Linked DNA regions of Danio rerio. The protein of the gene in region 1 purifies or fractionates together with the protein of each later gene. This does not show direct contact. Links are inferred from orthologs where the notes say so. Each region holds a gene or a part of one and is shown on either strand. Other genes may lie near its edges.

Region 1 (3,569 bases):
CCTCTTTTACTACCTTTGTGGACCTTGGAATGTACCAGCCATCAGGGGGTAGTGGAGATAACATTTCTGTTGGAGGTAAAGTGGTTAGTTTGGGTACGGAGATTTTAAGGGGATTTTTAACACAAAAATGTAAATTCCTGTTTAAGTTTCTGTTTTGTTGAACCTAAATGAAGATATTTTGAAGCTTGTTGGAAATGGGTAACCATTGTCTTCCATAGTATTTGTTTTTCATACAACACATGTTAATGTTTACTAGTTTCCAACATTCTTTAGAATCTCTTTTTATGTGTTCAAAACAACAAAAAACTCCCAACTGGTTTAAAAACAAGTCAAAGATGAGTAATAGATGACAGAATTTTTGTTGAATTTTTTAGAATCATTTGTGGGTGAACTACCCCTTTAAGATACACTATTGTTCAACAACACAGGGTGTACTCTGTTCACTGCATTTACAATTACAGGAAAAACAAAAATATTAGCAAACATTAATTTTTAAGATAAATTTTATGATGTAAACTAATGTGAAAGATTTTTAAGTATAATTATTGTCTCATTAAGTAATTAGTGTCATTCAAAAGTCATATTAATATGCTTTGATTAGTGTTCAAGATTGTTGTTTTCTTTAGTATTTTGTGAAAACCATGATCATTTTAGCCGCATTTGATAGAAAGTTCAAAAGGAAGATGCTAATTTAAAATAATCATAATTTGTAACATTATAAATGTTAAATATTTGCTGAATATGTATATATTAATTTCTTAATACATATTGATTATTTGAAAAAGCAAACATTTGAACAGTGCTGTTTGTGTAAAGCTTAATACATTGGAATACATGAGAATATTTATTTACTTTTTTTGTTGTTGTTGAGAATCAAAATTGATCAGATGAATCTACTGGAAATGCTATATTAATTTAAATTTTCTTACATTACTTGAGAAATATATATATATATATATATATACTTGAATTGCAGCATATATTTAAATTATGTTCTCTCATAACATTACATATTTTCCCCCATAGCTGTATGTTTTGTTCTAATGAATCTTCTACATGTTTACTGGAAAACAAGACAGAAGATCTGAGCAAGAAAATGATTTCAGCACCCTAGACCTGTGACTGTTTCTTGATGGCTGTGAATCTGTTTCTGACAGATGACTCAGTGTCTCTCTGCTGTGCGGTTTGTGGGTGTTGTAGGTCTGGGCTCTCGTTTTGAGCAGCTAAAGCTGGAGGTGAGGAAGGGCTCCATGGTCAATGTCAATCCCACAAACACACGTCCGGTCAGTGACACTCCTGAAATCCGCAAATACAAGAAGAGATTTAACTCTGAGATCCTCTGCGCTGCTCTCTGGGGTAAGAGCCATGCGTGTGTTTGTCAATCTAACGAAGTACATTTCTCATAAAGCCATCCCAACTGTCTATTCTTACTATCAGGGTTGGGCAGAAATACTTTAAAATGTATTTTAAAATAAAATGCCAAATACCTTTTAGTTTAAGTGTAGGTGCATTAAAATAAACTACAAACGACAGCAGCCAAAATGTGTATAAAAATAAAAACTGTATTTTTGTATTTTAAAAATACTACAAAATACTTTTACAAAGCATCGTGACATTTCTTCCCAAAACCTACTATCAATAGGCCTATTGGATCAATCCCTTCACCATTAAACTGACTCAGTGTAATAAACAGTGTTTGACAGTAACAGTGTTTCTCTAAGTTTTAGCTTTTCTGCCACTTTGCTCATCTCAACCTTCAACTGTAAGACTTTCATTTTTGCATTTATTTTGTAGATAATTTCATACAGAAAGTCCTGACTTGATAATCTCATTCCGTTTAAACCATTTATTGCAGATGATAAGTCGAATCGTATTGCTATATCTATTGTTTGTGTTTTCACCCATTCTGTGGCCAGTAAAATTGTCATCATCTCTGTGCAATGATTATTCAAGCTCTTAATATTTTAAAAGGGTGATAAATGAAGAGTTTTAAATTTGTTTTGTTCCCAGAATTTTTCATAAATCTAGTATTTTGCAGTTGAACTCTTCAGTACTCAATGTGAAAACATGATTTCTGAAAACTTCTAAAAATTGTTATGTTTTTCTGTTTTTGCAAATAAACTCTTCATATACAGCTAAAGTCAGAATTATTAGAATTTTTTTTTTTTTTTTTTATGTAGGTGCATTCTTATGCATTTACGTATGTAATAAATCATCTTTGCATTATAAAGAAAAAAAAGATCTACTTTTTCTGCAAGGCATTGGTAATCAGAGTGTATGGATGGACACTAAATGTGACATTGTTCTCTCTTCTGTCTGCCATTAACTGTCTAACACAGATTTTTCTTTTTTCTGCAAGTCTTGATAACACCATCATTGATCATCTTTTATTATTTGAGCAAATAGGATTGTAAAAAAAAATATTTCTTGTATTCTCCCATTCACCTTGCATTAAGTTTACGCAAATATGACAACTTCCGCTACTGAGAAACCTGGAAAAGTGAAGAGGGTCTATTGATTTCAGGTAGCTTTGATCCATTTGAGTCACTTTACTGATTCAAGTATTTTACTGATTGCTGATTTTAGTTCTTTTTAATCAAGTTTTTACATTATTTTAGGGTAGTGAGGTTAGTGTATGAAGTGTGTGAAAATTGGCACATGATGAGATCAAGGCTATTTGTTCCTCCTTCTTCTTTTAGTGTTTTAAACCCTCCAGTTCAAACTCTTTAAAATGTAATGCACATTTTAGCTAAAATAATTCAGGCAAGTTTCCTAGAAACAAAACTTTCTTTCTTCTCTGATTTTTCTAAGCCGTGCTAGTGCAACAAGTGATTTCTGTTCTCGATTTTCTCCTTGTTCAATTGTTTTTATCTTTTTAAGCTCATACTACACTCATAGGGTTGCCAGACAGAAGTTTTTTTTCAAGAAATATATTTGTATCTGTGTATCATTTTAATGTGTTGACATGAACTTTGTTATCTTTGCACCAATTCCCTGAGCGTTCAGGAGGACTAGTTTGATGGCAGTGCCACCCACTGGCCAAAATGCATAAAATATGACCACAAAGCATGGTGGAATAAAGTGGCACAAGGTCAAATTTCTCCATAATACCCTTTTGAGCAGTGTACCGTTTTTTTCATCCACTCCTACAGAGAGTTTATTATATACAGTCAAAACTTTTCTACTTTAAATTCAGTACACCCCTAAAGCATGATAAACAGTTTTCTCAGAATAGCTCCATAGCACAGTCTGTGAGCATTTTAGGTCTTGAAGGGTGTGTGTGTTTTAACTGTGTATGTTCTGTCAGGTGTGAATCTGCTGGTCGGGACAGAGAATGGTCTGAAGCTGCTGGACAGAAGCGGTCAGGGTAAAGTGTATCCACTGATCAACTCGCGCAGATTTCAGCAGATGGATGTCCTGGAGGGACTGAACCTCCTCATCACTATATCAGGTTATAAAATGCTCTGTTCCTTATTTCACACACCCGTCTATCTTTGCCGGGACACATAGATATAGACCAGACCACCTATTTTAGGATCTTCATGTGTAGTTTCTCTCTTTTCTTAGGC
Region 2 (3,569 bases), on another chromosome or scaffold:
CATGGCTTATAACGAAAAGACAAATGATTTCAGAACCCAAAAATGAATATGTCTAACATGTTAATAATACTCCTGAACATTAATAGTTAATTACCAGTATCATGGCTACATGTGAAAAGCGTTCGTAGGTCTGGCAGATGTAGGCAAGCCCCGTATCATCCAAGAGGATCTTCTGCAGGATAAACGTGGCCACCTGAAGGAAGAAAAGAGGAAATACACATCAAATGCATCTGAATAATGCACGTACACTCATAACTTGTCAAGTTATGTCATGTAATGAGATTACCGTTTTGGAGAGCTCGCTGCCGGACTCCATTATGCGCAGACAGAGAGGAATTATTTCTGTGGTTAACAGAAAGTTGATGACTTCCTGCTCGTCTGTTTTCACCAGTGCGCCTATAAGACAAACGCATCTCTGGCTTATTTATCAGGCTTACACAATTACATCCCAAAAAATTATTCAATACAGGATTTAGAAGAAACACATTTATAAAAGTAAATGCAAATCAAATATACTAAATAAATCAATTAATGAATAAAAAACTAGGTCAATAACGTGGTTACTAATCACCTGACATATTCAATAAAACAAAAATATGATGCATTGATAAAACTTTTTTTTAAATATACCTTTTTTATTACTTGTGAATGGTAAATTCATATATGAAAGTAAATCTGTTTTACTTATTTATTTAATTTTTTAGCATATTCATCAAAAATCGAATAATGAAATATATTTAAATTGAAAAAAATCAAATGTACTAAATAAAACATACACATTCAAAAATTTACTCAAACTGATTGCACTAATTGTATTTTTGTTTCGTCTGCTACAAAGTATATATATTTTTTAACGAATGGAAAATTCATATTAATTTTTTGGCAAATTTACGTCATTATATAAATATATTAAATTTGTATGTATAAAAAGTATTTTCACCATTTTCACTAATGCTCCTATAAGATGAATACATTTCAGTTCAGTCTTACTTTCATTTTCATCCAAAAACTTAAATATAGATACAGAAATGTCACAAATTGAAACTGCAAAACCACTAAACAAAATAAAAAAAATCAATATATAGATACAAATGCCCTTCCATATTGAAAATATAATTCAAACTGCTTAATTGTATTTTTGTATCGCCTAATGCAAAATACTGTTTTTACTACTTTTATCTTAATTATATTACATATAGTTTATTATATGTATTTCATATTTTTTTATTTTATGTTTTTACCAAATATTAAAGTATTTGGCAATTTACATAATATTATATATCCAGTGCTCAGCATATATACCCCAAACAAATCTCTCATTTAAATGAATATTTTCTATAGGAAGCTTTACAATATTACATTTGTGCATATACATTAGATTAGTGAGTACTGAATCCAAATCTGGAGCTAATCTAATAAAGTGAAACTTACAATAATGGTTCAGAAATTAGTAGCCCAAATTTATATGTTAGAAAATATTATACAAATTAATATACAAAATATATACAATTTTGTTGAAATGTTCTAGTTTGTTATGTTTTTTTTTTGCAATATTTTGCATGAATTTATAAGTAATCTTTCCATTTCTAAAGATGTTATGTGACTAAAATATTATTTTGATAAAACATATCTGTACAATAAATCTGTTTTGTTCAAATGCACTAATATATATTACCAATATTCACTGAGAAATGGATAAAAATATTCATTTTTAAAATGGGCTGTACTCATTTATGCTGAGCACTGTATATATACACACAATATTTTTATAGCTCTTCCAAACAATGATAACATTTCAGTTCAATCTTACTTATATATATTTTTTCTTACCGATGACGCCCAGACTGGTGAGCCGAAGGTACTCGAAGGGCCTGGTTTTACTGACCGTGTGCAGGAACGGGTAGAGAAATAAAGGGATGTGAGCTGCCAGAAAAGCAGAACTGAGGACGAGAAAGAAATCGGAGGATCAGTCAATGTGGCGAATCATTAAAGAGAGCGTGTCGTTTTCTGTGTCTATAAGAAGTGTGTTACCGTGTCTCTACATGTGACGCCACACACTGCAGCAGTGCTAAGGCATTACACACTCGATTAGACTGATGTGCCGTCAGTGTCGGGGGGTTTATGGATGGGTAGATGTTAACAATTTCCTGTAAAAAAAAAAAAAATTAATTATTAATCTCAATTTAGTTAACTTTGCTCTATTTTTTTCTACCTTCTCAAATGAATTCAAACTTTGAACTTGTTTTGATTACAATAAAAGCCTTTGCTATTATTGTTATTTATTACTATTCAATATAAATTCTAATAGTATCTGAATATCTGAAGAACTACTTTAGTGTCAAATGTCAGAAAAGAGCGTTTACAAAAAGTTTTAATTTTCAAAGTGCAGAAAAAAAAACTACTTAAACCCTAAATTTTATTAAAATTCTTTCAAAAAGGGACATATTTGTAACTTATACAGTTATTATCACTCCATTCCATAATTTTTCAAATATCTGAAATAATTCATGTTTTACTAAACAATTGTTTGTCAATTTATTGCTTTAAAATTCATTTTAAATGTCATTTTCATCAAAAAGATTAATCAAAATTGTGTACATTGAATAAAAACATTGAACAAAAAAACCTACATTTACAAATCCCTCTTAATATTACCTAAAATAATTTTGTAATTAATTTTTACTTATTGTATTATTAATTGCATAATGAATTAATTAACCAGATATATATTAAAAAAACATACAGTTATGCCACTTAATATTTATTTATATGTAAAATAATAATAATAATTACACAATTATTCAATTCAATTAATATTTCTTTAAATCAAAAAGAATTGTGTCTAGAATGAAAGAAACTGAAGCAGACCTGCAGTAGAGCTGCTATGGTCCCGCAGGAGTGCCAGAGCATTGGGGCCAGGTCAGTCACAGACTCTCTCTTCTTGCTGAGCTCCAGCAGGGCGTTCTCTCGTGTTTCTGGACTGGACAACTCATTGATCCACTGGTAGATCTTCTCCCGGTCCACCTGCGCCAGACCCGCTGTGCTTACAGTCTGTGAGAGTGAGAGAGCACTTCTTTAGTCATCATATATAAAGTTGAAGACAGATTTATTAGCCCACCATTGATTTTTTTGTTTTGTTCTTTTTTTTTTTAAATATTTCCCAAATTATGTTTAACAGAGCAAAGACATTTTTAAAGTATGTCTGATAATATTTTTTTCTTCAGGAGAAAGTCTGATTTGTTTTATTTCGGCTAGAATAAAAGCAGTTTTTAATTTTTTAAACACCAATTTAAGGACAAAATTATTAGCCCCTTTGAGCTGTATATTTTTTTCAATAGTCTACAGAACAAACCATCATTATTCAATAACTTGCCTAATTACCCTAACCTGCCTAGTCAACCTAATTAACCTAGTTAAGCATTTAAATGCCACTTTAAGCTGTATAGAAGTGTCTTGAAAATATGTAGTAAAATATTATTCACTGTCATCATGGCAAAGATAAAAAAAAATCAGTTATTAGAAATGAATTATTAAAACTATTATGTTTAGAAATGTGTTAAAAACATCTT
Region 3 (4,169 bases), on another chromosome or scaffold:
AAAGTCATTAGAACGAGTATTATTCAGTTATCCATTAATTTTATTGTATTAACATCTACATCTACTCCAACCCTTAACGCAACCATCAAAGTACCGTTAAAAACAGTCATTATGAGTATTGTTCATATTATTTATTTATCTATACATTTTATTGTAATAATGTCTACACCCACTCCAACCCTAAACTCAACCATCACAGTATCATGAAAACAGTCATTATAACGAGTAGTTTTCATTATTTAATCAATTATCCATTCATTTTATTGTATTAACGTCTACTACGCCTACTCCAACCCTAAATTGAACCATCACAGTACCACGAAAACAGTCATTATATTGAGTATTGTTCTTAATATTTATTCAATTATCCATTCATTTTATTGTATTAACGTCTGCGCCTACCGCAACCCTGAACTCAACCATCACAGTACCATAAAAACAGTCATTATAACGAATGTTGTCCGTATTATTTGTTCAATCATCCATTAATTTTATTGTATTAACATCTACGCCTACTCCGACCCTAAACTCAACTATCAAAGTACTGTGAAAAGTCATCATAACGAGTATTGTTCATATTATTTATTCAATTATCCATTCATTTTGTTGTATAAATGTCTACGCCTACCCCGATTCTAAATCCAAACATCACAGTAATGTAAATAAAATATTAAATATTGTTGTACAGTGTCACAAAAATGATGCTATATTGATATACGTTTTCGTAGCTGTATCCTTTTTTTTATTGTTGAATCCAGGAACATGCATAACAGTACATAATTATAAAATACTAAATCAATAAGTGACATTGACAAAAGATACAGTACAATATGGAACAATGGAAATAAGATAAGAGAAATAAAAATGAGAAAACAAACGATAAATTACAAGGATTAATTTAAATTTACTTTTACGAAGAACTTAAAAGCAGAGCATATTTTGAGTTTTTAAAGCTTCTCATTAGTCCCTGAAATCAACTTCTTGTAATTTTCCGTAACGTTATCTTGTTTAATGAAGACCACAAAGGCAGGTTTACTTTTTAGCTGTAGCTCTTCTTGCCTTTTTTAACTTCCCAGGTTCTGCAGGTTGCAATGTTTCAATCTTATATCTTCTAGACTTTACTCTGTCCATCCGACGAGATTTTGCGCTACTTCCGGCCGTACGGAGCTGTATGTTGTTCGAAGCTTCATGGAGCTTTTGGATCCACCAAGCGCCCCCATGTGGCAAACGGCTTTATGGCCTGTAATTAGCGGTCATGAAGTAGTAACGCATGCAGCTAGTCTGGGGTAGGAGTGGATCACTATTTGGCACTTCAGTGTGTATGAGACAGTGCTCGCCTATCTGTACCAGGCAGGAAAACGGGAGAGGGCTTCGGTGGAGACTTCAAGCATCGGGGCGGCTCATTCTTCAGCTTTTCCACCTCCTGGCTCCGGCGACAGCTCGAACGCTCTGATGGAGGCGGAAAGATCCGGAGGGATGGCGGGCGGGACGAGTCAGAGCCCCGCGGGAAGTGGAACTGGGCGCAATCCTAACGGGCCGAAGGCTGTGCTCGGTCCCGCTCCCTCCGCAGTAGCAGCCGCCGCGGCCGGGCCAATGGCCGGATCCTCCCAGTCGCGAGATCAGCAGGACGGGGACGCAGGCCTCTCGCTGCCCGGGATCTTACATTTCATCCAATATGAATGGAGCCGCTTTCAAGCTGAGAAATACCGCTGGGAGGCCGAGCGAGACGAGCTGAGGGTAAAAGCAGCGTTTCTTTAATCACTTGTTTTGGTCTCTTCCTCTAGACGAATTCCTGGAGGAAGAGCACATTTACAGTTAAGACGCAAGGGAAGTCACGACCGCCTGCTGGAATTGTTGTACAGATGTAGGTTGGGGATTACACGAGATTTAAGTGTTCATTTTTTTGCTATTTATTGCAACAATAGCAGATTTAACTGAAATACTGTCCTTTTGTTGAATAGCCATACCCACCTAAGGATGGGAATCGATTCTGTTTACGATTCATATTAACAAATCCAGTTCCGTAGCGCGGTTCTTTTATAGTTTTTTTGAAGGAGAAAAGTAATAACATCAATCATGATACATATTGTATTTACTACTATCAGTAGTCTGTAAACGTTTCATTGTTTGAGAGCTGCACTGAGAAATGCAACATCATAACAGTGTGTAAACAAATAATAAACAAGCAATATTCTGTAACACGATTCATTTTAAAATAATGCAATGACACAGATTAAGTCAATACTTGTATAGAGCGTCTCTTAATATGCAGGTTGTCGTAATAACTATTACAGGTTTTCCTCCATTGGTTTGGCTCTTTTCTTGAAACAGAAATTACATTCCCAAAACAACATGGACAAACCTCCAAACCACTTGGCAGTTGTTCACACCAGAATTGAATTTCTCATTAATTTCATCAAATTGTAAATGTTTAAGTACATCTTTGCAAATTATTAAGTAAAAATAGCCGACATTAAGCACAATTTCCAAGTGAATAGATCTTGTTGATTTAAACTGATTATTCATTCTCAGTCTAATGGTTGTTCTCTTCAAAATGTTTCAGCGTCATTTCATTGTTTGTCATTGAAAGTACAATAGTCTGTTCAAAATTAGTCAAGACCATGAATACCATACAGTAGGTGAATCCTTGGAACTTTTGATTACACTATTACATCTATTTATACTTTTTGCTCTGACATATGGAAGTTACTTTGTGTGTGGTTGATTATTGCAATAAAAAAAGGAGTTACCATTACCCTGGCAGTATGAGTGCAATGTGTGACGTCAAACCTTGGAGGCTACTCTTACCCTAAAATCCTATTTTTTTTTTTTGTTCAGTTTTATACACAATTGTATTCTGTTAGCTAGACAAAAACAGTACAGTAACCATTGTCAATGAAGGACTTGGCTAAGACTGTAAGGTGGACATGAGGGATATTTTAGTGGTCCTTTGCCATAATGACAGAACATCTAAACATTTTGACTTGCAGTGCTTACACAATGCTAAAAGGACGAAGCATTTTGGGGGCACTGACTGTTTAAATGAGAAGGAAATTTAGTTTTGACACATGAGTGAACTGTTTTGGGAAAGGTATGAGCTTTTGCAAGTGAGCCATAGTGTTGTGCTAAACTGTAACACTGTTTTGCCAAATGATCTTAGAATTTTGAGAATGTAATTTCTGTTTCAAGAAATGAGCCAAACCAATGGAGTAAAACTGTAAGTCAAACACAGATTTAGTTTTTGGTACAATTTTAATCGCACGTACTTACACTATGAAATGGAGGAAGAAACTGATCCATGATGAACTGATCCATGTTCTGAAAGTCCTTACTGATCATTCCTTTAACAAACAGCCGATTAATTCTTCTTTGTAAGCATGTAGTTTCCAGAAGCACTCGAACTACTCAAGGCTGGGCTATAATGCTGAGGTTTTATTTTTGGTCAGAGACTGTCAATATTATCCATCTGCACAGCGTGACTTCATTCGACCGGTGTGTGTGTGGCTTTTTTTTCGGTGTTAGTGGGCGGGGCCGCAGGTTTCAAATCTCCCGGGTTTGTGCGCTCAACTAATTGTGTTTCATAGTCGCATCATCGTAAAACACCTAATGATTCGTTATCAAGACGACTCGTTTGAAGCACTGAGTCGACTCTGTTATAGATGAATCAATAGTTTTAAACACTGTACACTTACAGATTTACGCCTTACCTAAATATTACTTCACTTAGAGCCGTGTTACACACTACATAAAAAAGGCCATTTTCAAAAACCCATAATATGGGCTCTTTAAACATTTGGGCACAATAAATTAAACGTTTGCAGCTGAAAGATTTACTACATTTGTACTCAAAACGATACATTGTTATAGAGCTGCACGATTCTGGCTAAAATGAGTATTGCAATTTATTATTATTTTATTTTTTATTTTTTTGCCTAAAATAAAAATCACGATTTTTTCATGATTCTGTAGATTTAAAATAAAGGTTAATGTGACTAGGCTATTATTATTAGTGTTATTCTCAAACAAGAGGTAAAACAGCAATAGGCTTTGTGTAGCTGTACTGTTGGTTAAAATTTAATTTCTGTCTTCATGTGGAATGGTGGACTTGAACAGACTTTTGTCATGGTCATTAATGCTGATGATAATTCTGATGTTGAATTATTGTGTTT
Region 4 (4,166 bases), on another chromosome or scaffold:
TCGTTTTGATTTTCCAACATAAAAGTCCCTCAAATAATACTTCTATCTATATACTTTCACAGATGACCTAGGAAGTCATTCATACGTAGAATTCAGTAGTATGACCTGTAAATTGGGTATCTCACCATTTGAAAGAGAAGAGGATTTACAGACATTCAAAAAAGTTTCAAATGTAGGATTGGTTAGAGATGTGCAATGAGCCATTATGACTATGAAGATGGTGCTAGCATGACCTACAAACCCTGAGCTAACCCAGATAACAGCAATCAGGCCCGTTCCTGATGTGACTGCTCAGGACATCTCTGCTAAGAGCTATGCCTACTAGCCAAGCAAGCTGACAGGAAGAGTTTCACATCAATTAGATCCAGACACTATCAGAGTAGCACAGAACCACTATCCATTATAACATTAGCAACGTCTCCAGCACTGAAAAGCAGCACCTGGTAATGGACTTAAGCATCTGCATGCAAAGCTGGAGAATCAAAGCGCTCATATTTGGCAGCATGATTTGATTTGGTTCAACTTGCAGCATTTCGTTTGTGGTATGTACGGTATGCGTCTAATGGTTAGATGGCAAGTGAACCTCGGAAATATGGAATGCAAAGCAAATAAACAAGACCAACCCTCTTTTTAGGACCTGCATCGGTATGAGTGTGGGAGGGCTGACTTCCTCTAATGAAAAGTGCACATTAGTTTTGAGGTGGGAGTCATTCTGAAAGTATGTCACAAAACAAGTCTGTACAGGGGTAGTGAAGAGACTCCTCAGCCTCTGAAATGAAGACTGACTGTGTTTACATAATGCCAAGTCCTGCCAGCTCCTTTCCTCATTCACAAAAGCTACACTGCCGTCCACATCTCTAGTAGGCTGAACATATGACAGCTACACCCATTAATACGGGGAGAATGGAGATTTGGCTGTCATAACACACTCTTTCACCCAAAAATAAATCTGTCAAAGTGAGAGGCGAGCAAAAAATACAAAAGTCATGGGGGGAAAAAAGGACAGACAATGTTTGTTGGTAAATCAGTCATCACTCATTCGGTTTACATTATTCTTCATAGGCAAAAAAAACAAAAACATTTATCAAAATAGCTTGCGCCTCCACATAAAGAAACTCTTAATATGTTTAAAAAAAGGAGATGAACAAAGGATGACAGAACTTTAAATAAAATACTTTAAGAACAAGCGGACACTTCTTTTTTTTTTACTAACAAAACTGAAAACCATGGAAACTGTGGTTAAGCCATAGTTTAACCATAGTCTTTGAAGTAAAACTTTAGTTATGCAAATGTAATCAATGCAACAAAAACGTGGTGATGACACTTTTACAACAATAAAACCATGGTTATAATTTACTCAAGTAAACGTTACTGAATGTTACCTGTTAATTATTTGACTGCCAAAAACAACAATATTGTCTAAATGTTGTGTGCTGCACCTCCATGAAACAAACTATTTAACTGATAAAGGTATTTTCTAAATACAAATGCAGGTCAACTGTTAAAAGGTTTGTTATTCTGTCAAACGTGTTGTGTTTTTGTGTTATACAAAGTCTGTCATACAGGTGGAGATTAACATAGGGGTGAGTAAATAATGACAAAAAAAGATAGTGACAAGAGACTTATCCAAATGCCAATGATTCATCCAAAATACTGATCTGACCAGGAGCTAAACTAGTAAGTCTATCTGCTCATAGCGATCTTAAAGGAGAGTGAACCTAAAATGAACAGTGTCATCATTTACACACCCTCGTGTTGTTCCAAACCGGTTTAACACAGTTTGTTTGTCATATGTGTAACACAAGTACAAATATCAGTCAGAGTGTTCGCAACTCGCCTCAAACTCTATTCCCTTTAAATGCAACGTTATGTTTCATTAACGAACGTAAATAGTGACCGTCGCTGTCATCCAGCATTTTTATGATAACTAGTTTTTGCTGATCAGAAAGCCCTTAATGTTCTTTTGAATCTTATAAAAGATGCAGTGTGTAAAACATACTAAAATTGAAGCAGGGTGTGAAAGTGAGCCCCAGTAGGATGGATCAATAAAAAAGCGACCCATACGGACGCCATATTGACCAAAACAAAATGGCAGAACAAGAGAATAGTTGACAAAGTCTGCTGGCTTTCATTGACAGATGCGTCCCGTGACACAATAAATCCGCAACAAACAACTATTAGATCTGCTTCTGTGATCGTGGGTAAGATAATCTGAATCCATCGTAGCGGGTGTCGCGTATTATCGCCAATACAGCGATGTCATGTTAGCTTAGCTTAGCACATCCACACTAGGAACGAGTAAGCGACTCGACTTACTAGATTGCTGTTTTACAATATAGGCATGCTAAATACATATGTCTCGCATGTTTCAAATGAAGAAAGGTTTGTTTATTGACACAACTGCTAGTGTTGAAATTTTGTGTAAACAGGGTGGACAGGAAGCTTGCGAGATGTATGGTAAAATGCTTAGCAATTCAGCCTCAAGCTTTTAATTAAAGCAACCGACGAGTTGTCGGTCGATGCCCCGATTTGGGGTTTCCAATCAGTGTGTCAGCAAAATCCAAAAGTCTACAACGTTACCTGGAGCTCGGCCCTCTCCACTTCCCAATGCGCCCTTTCCATCTCGAAACGGGCCCATTCGTGCTGGATGTAGTGTAAAATCCCCGGGATGGTGTACTGCTGGGGCCTGGGCATCTCGTCTTGCTGTTGCTGAACCATAGGCGCTCCTCCTGCGCTGTTCATCTGAGGATTAATGCTGTTGTTGCCCTGCTGCGGTGCGGGCTGCTGCTGCTGCCTCTGGGCGGCCATTCCTCCTCCTCCTCCTCCACCACCACCTCCTCCTCCTCCGGGCTGTTCATCCATGTTTAAAAATAGGAAAGTCCTGCTAGAAGTCGCCGATTGTTACCCCTCTACCCTCCCTTTTTTACCGTTCGCTTAGCGATGCGACGTCGCCCTGCCCCCAACCGAATAGGCTGGCACCTGAGCGGCTGTTGTGGATTTCGTGTCAGCGCACGGATTTGCCGGCCGCCATTAGTCCGATCCCTGGATGTGAGTCTCCTACTGCGGGGGTGAGCGAGCGAGTGAGGGAGGACTGGCGCGCGCGCTGCATGATGGGACGCGTTCACCCAGCCCTGCGCGCTCTCGAGTCATCCGAATCCAGACTGACGACGTACAGACTCTGCGCATGCGCTTTGTATCTATGATTTTTTTTACTTGATGAGGCGATAAAAATGTGTCGTTGACAATATCTATAGACGTATAGTACGGTTTGTGAAAGGAGAAGTGCTTGAAATAATCAATAGCATCCGTCGAGAATGTTGTTTATTGTTATAATTTAAAGGTGCTATTGGTTTAAGTTTAAATGTAAAATACAATTACAGCAAATTTTAATTGCAATCATTTTTTTAAAATTATAGCAGTTAATGTATATATGTATATATATATATATATATATATATATATATATATATATATATATATATATATATATATATATATATATATATATATATATATATATATATATATGTATGTTATATATATATATATATATATATATATATTAATGATTGAAAAACATTAACAACAAATGTCATCAATCAAACAACAATCCAGGAGTTTTTAGTCATTTAGTCCAAGATGTCAAGTCCTTGTTCGTATTGCTTTTAAGTTTGTTGATCCCTCAATAGACTCAAAATTCATTTTCATTTCATTTTTAAATTTACAAAAAAAAAAAAAAGTTTACACTTTCAAAGCTTGAAATTTGGCCAAAAAAAAAAAAGGTTTAAGAAATAATTAATATTTTCCTTTTTACATTCATGGAAACCAAAGACAACATTTTCATATGTAAAATGTTCCTTCACGTCTTTTATGAAATCAAGAACATCACACCAAAATGTCAGTGAATGAGGGCAATTCCAAAATAAATGAACAGAAATTTCAGGATTCACTAAGCAAAATGAAGAGTTGGTTTTGAAGTCTTTTAAGATTACACTTGTCTGGAAAGCAGAAACTTCTCTCATCTTGTTTGTTAAAAAGTGGGGTAATGACCAAACTCTCTTCCATGAAATATCATTTTCAAAACCATTGCAATATGACATTACATAAGGCACAGTAACAGAATCTTCTTGAAACAGGGCTTTTATTTTCTTATTGCATTTTGTATT

The links.
Region 2: the proteins of mink1 (region 1) and cnot9 purify together in Homo sapiens (affinity purification with mass spectrometry; 3 studies listed by BioGRID and IntAct, with this or other methods). This does not show direct contact. The link is inferred for Danio rerio from reciprocal best matches to the Homo sapiens genes MINK1 and CNOT9.
Region 3: the proteins of mink1 (region 1) and strn4 purify together in Homo sapiens (affinity purification with mass spectrometry; 3 studies listed by BioGRID and IntAct, with this or other methods). This does not show direct contact. The link is inferred for Danio rerio from reciprocal best matches to the Homo sapiens genes MINK1 and STRN4.
Region 4: the proteins of mink1 (region 1) and strn3 purify together in Homo sapiens (affinity purification with mass spectrometry; 3 studies listed by BioGRID and IntAct, with this or other methods). This does not show direct contact. The link is inferred for Danio rerio from reciprocal best matches to the Homo sapiens genes MINK1 and STRN3.

Annotation. Positions count from the first base shown.
Region 1 is NC_133180.1:39,216,036-39,219,604, reverse strand, and holds part of mink1 (misshapen-like kinase 1), read left to right. Parts: coding exon 1-75; intron 76-1,200; coding exon 1,201-1,356; intron 1,357-3,307; coding exon 3,308-3,451; intron 3,452-3,567; coding exon 3,568-3,569. UniProt on the Homo sapiens protein: Serine/threonine kinase which acts as a negative regulator of Ras-related Rap2-mediated signal transduction to control neuronal structure and AMPA receptor trafficking.
Region 2 is NC_133197.1:12,450,079-12,453,647, forward strand, and holds part of cnot9 (CCR4-NOT transcription complex subunit 9), read right to left. Parts: intron 3,052-3,569; coding exon 2,869-3,051; intron 2,148-2,868; coding exon 2,032-2,147; intron 1,941-2,031; coding exon 1,831-1,940; intron 397-1,830; coding exon 287-396; intron 194-286; coding exon 95-193; intron 1-94. UniProt on the Homo sapiens protein: Component of the CCR4-NOT complex which is one of the major cellular mRNA deadenylases and is linked to various cellular processes including bulk mRNA degradation, miRNA-mediated repression, translational repression during translational initiation and general transcription regulation.
Region 3 is NC_133190.1:13,736,514-13,740,682, forward strand, and holds the start of strn4 (striatin-4), read left to right. Parts: upstream 1-1,314; 5' UTR 1,315-1,452; coding exon 1,453-1,737; intron 1,738-4,169. UniProt on the Homo sapiens protein: Calmodulin-binding scaffolding protein which is the center of the striatin-interacting phosphatase and kinase (STRIPAK) complexes.
Region 4 is NC_133192.1:30,183,837-30,188,002, reverse strand, and holds the start of strn3 (striatin-3), read right to left. Parts: upstream 2,809-4,166; coding exon 2,581-2,808; intron 2,202-2,580; exon of another isoform or gene 2,072-2,201; intron 1-2,071. UniProt on the Homo sapiens protein: Calmodulin-binding scaffolding protein which is the center of the striatin-interacting phosphatase and kinase (STRIPAK) complexes.